Linked DNA regions of Arabidopsis thaliana. The protein of the gene in region 2 interacts with the protein of the main gene of each other region in a pairwise test. Each region holds a gene or a part of one and is shown on either strand. Other genes may lie near its edges.

Region 1 (3,756 bases), on a different chromosome or scaffold from region 2:
GATCTGCTCAAATGACTTTGAATTCTCTGAGGCGTGAATCTGTGCGAGATTGATGTAATTCTTTGCTGACTGTGAGATGTATACTATCTCTTCATCTGTTAACTTTCTCATGAACTTTGCTGGATTTCCTCCCCACACCTGCCACATGAAACTGATAACTTATAGATATGTCCTTGTAAATATATTCTCAGGTTGACGGTTGAAGAAAGTAGTTCAAAAGCATAGCGATATAAGAAATCCGTCTAATTCCTCATAAAACATTGGAAACACAAGAACCCTCTGTTACTCCCAACTCACCCTTGTTTCATATACAAGTAGAATTGCAACGGAAACAAAGGTGGTTCTCAGATTTAGACGATATATAAATACTATTTACTCTTCTTTTTGATCAAAATATAATACAATTTACAGGCATATCATTTCATTAACTAATTCTGTATCAACTAAATTGTAAGCAAAGCAAAAGTGGATCTACTTGAAGAAGTTCAGCTGGTCAAGCCTTAGCTACAGGTCAGCGTAGGACTAAATGCAGCAGACTACAGCTGCTATTACTTGGTTAATTAGCAGTTCGTTATTAGGCTTGGTAGAGCTTCAGGGTCCGTGATAAGTAAACCTAGCTAGAGTTCTATTTTTGGTTCTTGATACTTTGGATTTTCTCGTTCAGTTTAGTGAGAAATAAAGCAGTTTCCAGTTCCAGTCTTATCACAAACTCCGTAAGCAGTAAACCAGAAAAGATAAAGTGGAAAGAAAGAAACCTCTCCAGAAGGGATTCGCGTGTTCTGTTTCACAAGAGAACCAGCAGCAACCATGGCATGTTTCTCAACCACCACACCATCAAGTAGTGTTGCTCCCATACCAACAAAAGCATCATCCTCAACAGTACACCCATGAATGACAGCACTGTGACCTGCTCCGTTTCATTTTACAAACAAAACCTTTAACTAACAATCGTGTAACACAACATAAAAACAGATACTTCAAAACTGATAAATCGCTTTTTAAGGTTTACCTACTGTTACATTGTCCCCAATCAGAGTAGGTAGAACCTTGCCACTTATGTTGGTCTTTGCAACATGTACAAGCGTATTATCTTGGATATTCGTCCCAGATCCAACACTGATGTTATTCACATCACCTGCACAAGTTAGAAACCCAGATTAACATACAATAAGTTTCACAGCTACTTCATGACACATTTTATCGACAGTACAATAAATCTATGTCCAATGATCAGGACAGTAACGTATAACAGCGATACAAGATTATTAGAAGGTAAAGAGAACTTCATTTCCTAAAACTAAACTATGACTACTTTGCACAATATACTGCTGCAAAATTTGGTACTTCTATCGAACCAAAGGCCATTAAGACTTTCTAGAAGTAATAAAGCCTCACCTCGAAGAACACAGCCATACCAAATCGACGAGCCTTTTCCGATCTGAACATCACCAATAACAGAAGCACTCGGAGCCACAAACACATCTTTATCCACCAATGGTGATTTATCAAACACATTCATCAACGTCCGATGCCTCGACACTGAAAACAAACACAAATTTCTCGAATCAAATTTTTTCAATCTAAGCCACAAATTTCTCCAATCAAAGGTGAAGACACAAATTAGAGATAACGAATTGGATCTAGGGTTTCAATAGAGAGTATTAAGTGGAAGGATCTGGAAGCTTACGATGTTCCTCGATACGGTGACTTCCTTGAAGAAGAGAACCAACGCGATCAAGAGCTTGACCAGTTCCACGAATCCAGTTACCCACAGTGTAAATTGCTCGTCCTAGGGTTCCCATTTTTTTGTGATTCTCCGATTACCCAAAGTGTGAAAATGAGAAGGCTTTGTTGTTTTTGGTGTCGCTCCACCAGATAGAGAGAGGTTTATGGAGGCGTATTGATGGGAGGATTTTTTTTTTTAACTCGAGTGAGTTCGTTTATTTTGTTGACCTCTAAATTTTTAGAGTATGGAGTGGTAACTGGTAAGCTAAACCAAACCGAAATTTATTGGTTGGACTTACAGAGATTGTGAATACAAAATCCGGATAGATTCGTTTTGCAATGTAAGGAGATGGAACAAAGCTTTCAGGAGACAAACACAAAAATGAGTAAAATAATTAATATAATTTAGCAAAGAAAATAAAGAGATAAAAATAGAGATATTAGCTTATATTGTGCATTGGATATTGGAAGTATTGCATAAAGCAAAGAAATAGTTTTTAGTATAAGGATTGGAAAAAACATTGTTTGTATCTAAAATGGGGTCAAGAATGTAGAAGATGGAGTTTCTTGGGTGTTTTTCTTGGAGTTATACTAGAAAGAAGTCGGGCAAGTGATATTTACGCGTGGGCGATTTCTCTCTCAAATTTTTTTCTTCTTATAATCACAATCTCTTGTTCCGTCAATAAGTTTTTTCGTTGACTCCAGCGACGAAGAAACCCATTGGGACATGGTGCTTCAACCGTGATCCGCTACATCTTCTCGGCAATTCAATCTATTCAAAATCAAGGGAGCAGTGGAGGGCAAATGCGGCATTAGGGGAGTGCAAGAGGAGCAATTGCACAGGATCCAAAAATTATTTGATCAAAATTAAAGGGTAAAATAAAAAAATTTATCAAATTTGAGGTCAAAAAGATAATTTTGACTAAATCTGAGGGCCATAATAAAATTTTAACTAAATGTAAGGGCCAAACTCAAAATATTTAGTATAAAAGGGCTAAATTTGAAAATTTGTACAGTGACAGAGAATATATTGAGTTGGCCCTGGTGGAGGGGAGAAGATTATGCGAGACACTGTCGGTAAGAGCTATATCGGTGGTGTGGCTTCACGGAGAGGAAGGATGAGACTTCACAGTGAAGAACAAGGGCTGACGGCGGTTAGGTCGGAAGTCTAAAGATTCTGGAGGTTTCATTGGGTCGCCGCTTGATGGGGGAGGTCGACTCCGCTTCGGTGAGGCTTTACCACCGTCGATGGTCTTGAGATCTACTCACTACTGCCGTCAACTCTCTCGACTGAGCTATGAGATTCATGACTATGGCAACCCGGATCGCCTCTTCCTCCTCAAAACTGCTCTACGGTGGCAGGAGGACAACGGATCCTGAATTACCATCTCCGTTCGACGAATCTCGTCTAGGCTCCCCAAAGGGTTTCTGTTCCGGTGAGATTCTGCAATTCTTGGACGGCGGCTCAGATCGTGTTTTACGATATGAGATTAGGATTTTCAACTTTCGGTTTAGATCGGTTTTGTAATAGATGGTTTAGTCTGGTTATATGTAAGTGGATTGAGTCTAAGGGAAAATGTATGAGCCTAAATCCGGAAATAGTCCATTGGACCTTATTTATAACATTGAAAACCATTTTACAAAAAAAAAGATGGAGTCTCTTTTCTTAGGGTCTCCACCTCTCTTTATAGTCTTTTCCTTCCTCCTATGTATCTTTATTTGGCCATTAGGTACATATCTAGCTCATAAAATAACTCTCATAATTAATTCGTAAACTTGAATGGCAAGTTTACTCCTTAAACCATGACCATTAATTCATAAATTTAATCACAAATTAATATCAAGATTTAACCACCTTTCTTATGCAAGATGTACATTCTTTGCTCTGTAAAGTGATGGAACTTGGATGCGTAAGATGGATTTGTCGTGCGCGATCCGGTATCAACATAAGCTTGAGTTCTTTGAGTAAGGTTATTTGCTTGAAGACTAATATTCTTGTAATGCTGTTGGATATGAATTTGGATTAAGTAG
Region 2 (3,756 bases):
AGAACATTTCCATTATCCTTTATAGGAAAGAAGTACCCGCGAGGCCGTGATGCAATAGATTATGTGAGATAGTATCTCTAGCCTTCATCGCATTAACCGATCTCAATACGTTTTCAGGCAAAACCTCATCATCAATCACTTCAACCATCAGCTCTGGCTCCATCTTCTCCTCTCTCATTTCACATATGTTGTGAAGCACACAACAAGCACCCAAAACGGTAGGCAAATCCTGCAGCTTCACTTCAGTCCGTTTCTGCAGACACGCCCACCGCCCTTTCAACCTCCCAAACGCTTCCTTAGCCACTCCCTGCACTTCGCTCATCTTCTCATTAAACGCATGCTGCGTCCACGTCAAGTTCTGTTGCGTATACGGAACCAAAACCCAGTCCAACAACGGATGACCCGGTCCACCAGCAACCCACATCCCCTTCAACAAACCTCCATTGTTAGCTCTTTGATACAACAATGACTTCTCTAACACCTTATCATCCGGCATTGACCCGGGCCATCCGATGCACAAGTCAGTAAAAACACCTTTCGGGTTCACAACGGCTTGAATTGTAATCGAATACGACGTCTTCTGGTTCCTCTCAGTATGCCTCTTATTGAAATAAGAGGCTACACTAATCTTAGGAGCTATAATCGGAATGTGAGTAGTATACATAGAGCCAACAACGTTTGGAATACCCGAAACCGATTCGAAACGTTCTCTAATGTTTCTAAGAGATTCATCATCTGGCCATTGAAGATACTTAGGCATTAAAACGTCCTTAATAGCTTTACATACCTCAAGAACAAGCTTGTGACAAGTTGAGATTCCTAAACCAAACTTCTTGGAGACAAGACGAAGTGGCTCACCGGTGGCTAATCTCCATATACAAACCGCGACTCGCTGACGCACTGGAATCGCGTTTCTTAACGCGGTGTCTTCTTTAGCAACCGCTGAATTAAGCTCATCGCAGATTAACTCAAACGTTGATTTAGACATTCGAAACGCTTTTTTGAAATCTTCTTCTGGATAATCCAATCGGCTACACTCTTCCCACCAAGCTCTGCTCCGATCTTTAACCCATAACCGTCTTTGCTGACCCGAACCGGTACCACGAACCGATCCGGATCCGGTTATCTCACTGCTCTCCGCCTCAATCTCCGAAGCAGCAGCAACAGCAACGGAAGCGACGGCGCGTGAGACGCGTGACTTCTTCAGATTGATATCTCCACTTTCCTCAGCATCAGCGTAGTAATCGTTGAGATCGGAGTAGTAATCGGACATAGTTCTAGCTCTTTTCCGGTAATTAGATTGAAAATCAGACATTTCACGGCGAGAAGCAGCGTTACGAGCTTCCTGGTCTTGCTTCTCGTGCTCCTCCATCAAAAGCAAAGAAGTGAAAAATCCTTTGAGGTTTTTGGTTTCGTTGTTTCTCTTAGACTCTACCTCGCCGCCGTCGAAAACATTACAGACTTCTTCTTCTTCTTCTTCTTCCTCCTCCTCGTCTCCGTCTTCGTTACGGAAAACGGCGGCTTTCATCGAAGTTGTGTTGTTTCACGTTTTTGTCTCTGAAAGGTCTTGAATTTTTGGAGTGTAGAAGAAGATTAATTTTTTTGAGGGTTCATAAATAAGAAATCTGAAGAAATTTTTTTTGGGGATGAGAAGACGAAACTTGTGGGACGAGTGTGAACACGCAAGTTGACTTTACTAGAGAGCTATTGTACTCTTTTTTCCTTTTTAATAAATTCTTGTTATTTATTACTCATTTTTATTCTTGTTACATTCTTTAGTATTTTTTTGGACAAATATTTAGACAGCGGTACAGAAAAAGCAGAACCAGTTTGATTCTTGTAATAGATTCATATTTGGAAGCAAACTATGTGAAAACGTTTTTTTAATATAATTAAAGGATATATATGTCGGAAAATATTGACTACATATCGAATAATTATCAGTATACTCTGATTGAATAAATTGGAATCTAAAACGTTATATAGGCGATACAAACTAATTTTGAATCTAATTCTTAGAATCGTGATCATGATCAAACCAAATTCTTAATTTGCTTGCTGCTTTTGTTCAAAACAATCTTGTTACTATATTAAGCATGTCTATTTATAAGTACAAACTTATCAGTTTTAGTACTATGTTGTACTTTTCTTAGAAACATTTCTTCTTATCTCAGAATGGTGATTTTGATTCGAATGCGAAGTTGCTAAGATATGTTTTGGACGCACTATTAACTTTCTCATTTTTATACAAAATCCAAACGATAGCGAGCAAAATGTTTAAAGTGAATATCAGAATAACAACTAAAAAGATTAGATAACAAAAAAGAACTAGACTAAATATATAATAGATTTGAGCTATTTATCGATGGAATAAACATAACATGTGAATGAAGTGGTAAATTTCAATAAAATCGGAAGATTTCGAGGCGAAACTCAAGACCAATTCCTAAGCTAAAAGCTATGTAAATATTTTCGTAGATATTTATGTAATACTACTAAATAAGTTGTTTTTATATTCAAATAGTTTGTGATACTTTTGTTGGCAAATTCTCCATTTTGATAACTTGATATTGAGAGATGAACAAGACCTAGAACAATACACGTATGATTCTCTTTCTTAGTTAACCGGTTTGAGAAACTATGAGTTCCATTTCCACCACTCTTTTATGTTATTTTATCATTGTCAACAGATAATTGTAAACGTTGTTTGTTATACACTTGTGGAGAGTGGGTGTTCACACACATATCTTATATACGAACCCAATAATATTATTATAAAATAAGATCTCAAAATGATTGTACCTATAAACTGAAAGAAAGAAGTGTGAACACGTCAAGGAAGTATCGGACATTGTTTGTTAGTCTAATGTATTTGGCGGTGTGGAACGTTAGGTGGCCGATGGAGACTTTTGGTCCCATGCTTCGTTTCCTTTTTTCTTCCTTTTCTTTTTGTGTTTACTTGAGTTGCCAAATAAAGAAGGCATTAGGGGATCTGCTAACATTTTTTATAACTTACATTAGTGGCCTCTTTCATGCATCCTCGCCTAGATTCATGTTGTTTTTTCTTGTTTAATCAGAAAATTAAAGGTATAAATATAGACTAATCTTTCTCACATTAATCCAAGCACCGCAATACAAAAACTATAGGGTGACCAGAGAATAGTTGGTTAACGAAGAAGAAATGGTCTATGTTGCCTTTTTAAAGGCCTCAAGTTTGTTGGAAAATATTTTAAATGAGAAGGCAAAGTTCATATCATACTGATGATAAACAGATTAATAACTTTGTAGAGATGATGAATCTAATTCACGCATTAAACCATCATATCTAACCACTAAAATGGAGAGAAAAAAAATCTAACCACTAAAAGATGAATAAGTGATATAAAAATTAAAGTAGAATAGAATCCAGTGCAGTTGAAATCAAACTTTGCAAGTATTTAGTTTAGTGATACATATTTAGTAGAAAATATATCCCTAAACTATCATTTGATTTTTGAAGTACTTTGGATAAAAATATGTGAAATGAAAGAGAAGAGCTTTCAGGCCATCAGAAATTCACGAGAAGCAGCACAGCTGTACAAGTCATCTAGCAGAGTCACACCAATATTCTAGCAAAAGAAACCAACAACAACTGGTTAGCAAGTTTGAATGATTTAGCAAAAAGATAATAGTCCATAAAGTAGCCGACAAAGAGAGTACATAGGGCAGAAAGACTGATTCCTCGAAGACATTTCTTGCTTTTGATGAATCATTAAT
Region 3 (3,756 bases), on a different chromosome or scaffold from region 2:
AGAATCGTATTTTGACCAATGTGAAACACCCATCTAGGGACAATCTTATCAATAAATACACCAAAATTCCTCGGGAACGTCCATATCAGCCTACTACGACCTGGACTGACCGGAATACATATAAAGATCAAAGACAATCTCCGCTTTGACAATGCCGCCTGTATACAGAACCATACTGTTAGGTAACTAAAACATGTGACTCTAAACAAGAAAATCTTGATACAAGTTAAAATCTATGACCTTGTCAGAAGCAGCTGGTGCGGGATACTCATGTTCCTGCTCTGGTAGAGGGTCTGTGGAAGAGCGATACACACATGGTGCAATAAAATTAGAATAACCCCATTCTTGTTTTGAAAAGAACCCTTTGTTGTCTAGTTTTTTAACGTTGATTTCGAGTGGTTTCCCCCCTTCTCTGTCAATCTTCTCTGCAAGAAGAATCTGAAGGTTGGTAAAAGGATTAAAACAACTATTTGAAATACAAATTATGTATTTGCCTTTTGGTTTAGGAAACCGCATCAGTCCATAATGTGCATAAGGAACATGAGCCGGGTCCATGAGGTTTTCCACCAAGACATCGTACCTGAAAGATTTCAGATTTACACAAAAACATCAACGGAGAATTACCACACATAGTTGAAATGATGTAAAAGCCAATAGATACCCGTAAGGAATATCACGATTCCCCATCAACTTAGTGAATGATGGGTCTTCTAACTCTGGAATGTAAGGAGGCTTGTTGGTTTCAATAATGTTTTTGTACTTTGGATCACTGTTTGGCCAAAACCAAATGATCTCATGCTGCACAGTACTCGGGTAAACAGCTACACAAGCTTGCTTGAAAGTGTGGACCTGATTTGCATTACCAAAATAATCATTGATACAACCAAAGACTTTGACTTTATGTTCCATATAAACCATATGCTAAACCAATCTAAAACAAACAAATCATCATCAATAGCTATAAAAATTTACCGGAGGACCATCAGGAGGAGCTTGAGGAATGAGTTTACAGTCACCGGAACCATTAAAGCACCATCCATGATAAACACATTGCAACCTCCCCCATTGATCAATCCTTCCATCAGACAAAGGAGCAAGACGATGAGGACACGTGTCATCCATCACTTTCCATTGCTTCTCGTTCCTATCCCACCAAACAACCAAATCAATCCCCATAACTTTCTTCCCATGAGGAACCTTCTTGTCAAGATCGCAAATTGGCATCACTGGGTACCAATTAGCGTACCAATCGAACTTATCCGACCCGGGTTCGAATAGGGCTTCAGGTTCCGGTGGAGAATTCGTTGACGTAGCGGCTGATGATGATGGTGGTGATGATACTGCGGTTGTGAATCGACTTGATTTGCGGGTGATAAGGGAATTAGGAGAAATGGGTAGGCTTGGATTGGAGAAGGAACATCTGAAACGAGGTTTCGTATTGAGAATTCGGAGCGATGGAAGAGCGCATGCAGCAAGAGCAGCTTCCATGGCGTTGTGTGGTGGTAACAACCGGAGAGACGAAGCAAATGAAAGTCTTCTTTACCAATCTCTTTTGACAAATTTATAATCCAACGGTTCAAATTAAAATATCTCAGGATGTATTTAAACCAATTGATAATCATTTTTCTGGTTTAATGAAAACTAAACCGGTTAATTGAAAGAGAAAGTGTCGGTTGAGTGTGAAACCGGCGTCGGCAAAGTGAGGGTATAAGGGTCCTTTCCAGACACCACAGCATCAGTTTCTTCAATCTCCCACGTCTGAGATTGAAAAGTTTGGGAGAAGATAAACAAACTCAAAATACCTCAGCTTTAGATCAAAATCTAAAAACAAGAGTTTCGTGCAGTGGTTTCTTAGAGATCTAGTAGATTAGAGAATTTGGATTTGTTGAAGAAAAGTGGATTTGGTACGATTCTATAGGTTTCCTTCTTCTCTGAAGCTACTATAGAGAGAATCTGCGAGCTCAATTTCGTAGTAAATTAGGGTTCGTGTTTCTTGGTAAAGATAGAATCAATGGCGGAGGTTGTTCTGCACATATACGATGTGACGAACAGTGGATCAGAGAAGACTAACAACACCATAGTTCAGATCAATAGGTTCTTCAAAGACGGGATCGGTCTTGGCGGTATATTCCACAGCGCTATTCAGGTACTACTACTCCACTGCCTCGATCTTCTTCGTCTTTAGTCTATCAATCTACATCTGCACATGTATCGATGATGTCTCTCTTTTGAGTTGTTGTTTGTGTGTCTGTATGTGGAAATGAAGAATTTGAAGGAATGATATTTTTGGTTTTATCTGTGAGGCTCTAATCTAATGGCATATGGTCGTAAAGGTCTCTGTAAGATCTTGAGCTTAAGCTCCCTTTTCGTCTGTACTGAGGATCTCAATACTCGGTTCTTCAAGTAATTTTAGAAACGTGTTATGGGATTATGGGTGCGATGAACTTTAGGTTTACATGTTGCTATTGATTCGCAGGGAAGAGTGATTGAATAGAATCTTGTATGAACTTTGTGCAGGTATATGGAAACGATGAATGGTCTTATGGGTATTGTGAACAAGGAACTGGTGTGTTCAGCTGTCCTAGTGGCAAGAATCCAATGTACACATATCGTGAGAAAATTGTTCTTGGGAAGACAGATTGTACAATCTTCATGGTAAATCAGATCTTGCGTGAGCTCAGCAGGGAATGGCCAGGACACACTTATGATTTGCTGTCCAAAAATTGCAATCACTTCTGCGATGTATTATGTGACCGCCTTGGTGTGCCAAAGATCCCAGGTAAAACCATTATTGTGGGAATCAGGGTTTGTGTGTGTGTTTATGTTATGTGACGGCTTGGGTTCTGTCTCTTAACAGGTTGGGTGAATCGTTTTGCTCATGCTGGCGACACAGCCTTGGAAGTAGCAGGAAACACAGCAATGCGGGTGGGTTCTCTCTCATTTTGCTCTGCCCACGCTGTTTCTTTTTTTACACCTGAATGCATGTGGATGTTAAGTCCTTGTGAACTGTGACTTTTGCAGGTAAAGCAAGCCAAAACTGAACTTGTTTCAGCCAGTAAAGTGGCTTATCGCTTCCTTTCGAATGTTACCTCAAACATAACCAATGGTTCAAATGGCTCCAGTGGCTCTCCACAGCGGCCAGGAACTCTCAACAATTCAGACAATGGGAGCTTTAGATTGCAAGGTAGTTGGTTGAAAGGTATACTTAACACTGCCAAACCCTCCACAAGTACAGAGATAGGGAACAAAGAGGAAGATACAAATCATACAATCACCAATCAGAAAAAGCAGAACCGTGACTCTGATGTTCTACTATTTCAGTAGCAACTGTACTGATCCACCCCAATGTATTCACTTACTGTATATCCACCTATCCAAAATTTATTCGTTTGTATCCATTACTTTGTATCACGATTCGAACACACCTCTCTTTTTTTTTCCCCTTTTCACAGCAGAACGTGTGATTTTGTTAAGAAGATATTTTCAACACGTTACTGGCAAAGACCAAGCAAGTCTTAGCATATGCATTGCACACCTATTAGAGGGTTTGTTAAAAGAATGTGATATAAGATAAGCAACAATGCAGTATGAAGAGACTTCAACATGTATAATAGATACAACTCAAAATGCGTCTTTAATATTACAGCGAACGAAAACAGAGTATAAGGTCTAACGTCAAGAGAAAAAAACAGAGCATTGACACCAAAGCAAGCAGAAGGCAAATGTTTATTTTAAAAACCGAATGAGGACGAGTCG

What was found.
Region 1: the proteins of AT5G12010 (region 2) and GAMMA CA2 interact in a two-hybrid assay, tested with the Arabidopsis thaliana proteins (one large-scale study listed by BioGRID).
Region 3: the proteins of AT5G12010 (region 2) and AT4G25660 interact in a two-hybrid assay, tested with the Arabidopsis thaliana proteins (one large-scale study listed by BioGRID).

The regions. Positions count from the first base shown.
Region 1 is NC_003070.9:17,321,546-17,325,301, forward strand, and holds the start of GAMMA CA2 (gamma carbonic anhydrase 2), read right to left. Parts: upstream 1,940-3,756; 5' UTR 1,803-1,939; coding exon 1,688-1,802; intron 1,540-1,687; coding exon 1,396-1,539; intron 1,136-1,395; coding exon 1,010-1,135; intron 908-1,009; coding exon 756-907; intron 139-755; coding exon 1-138. Other genes in the region: AT1G47265 (uncharacterized protein), read left to right, coding at 3,023-3,253. UniProt on the Arabidopsis thaliana protein: Enzyme involved in the catabolism of H(2)CO(3) but that does not mediates the reversible hydration of carbon dioxide. Mediates complex I assembly in mitochondria and respiration. Binds HCO(3)-.
Region 2 is NC_003076.8:3,877,956-3,881,711, forward strand, and holds the start of AT5G12010 (nuclease), read right to left. Parts: upstream 1,703-3,756; 5' UTR 1,529-1,702; coding exon 20-1,528; 3' UTR 1-19.
Region 3 is NC_003075.7:13,081,666-13,085,421, forward strand, and holds the start of AT4G25660 (PPPDE putative thiol peptidase family protein), read left to right. Parts: upstream 1-1,741; 5' UTR 1,742-2,011; coding exon 2,012-2,146; intron 2,147-2,517; coding exon 2,518-2,779; intron 2,780-2,857; coding exon 2,858-2,925; intron 2,926-3,021; coding exon 3,022-3,324; 3' UTR 3,325-3,756. Other genes in the region: ACD1-like protein, read right to left, coding at 1-158, 241-580, 662-849, 973-1,488.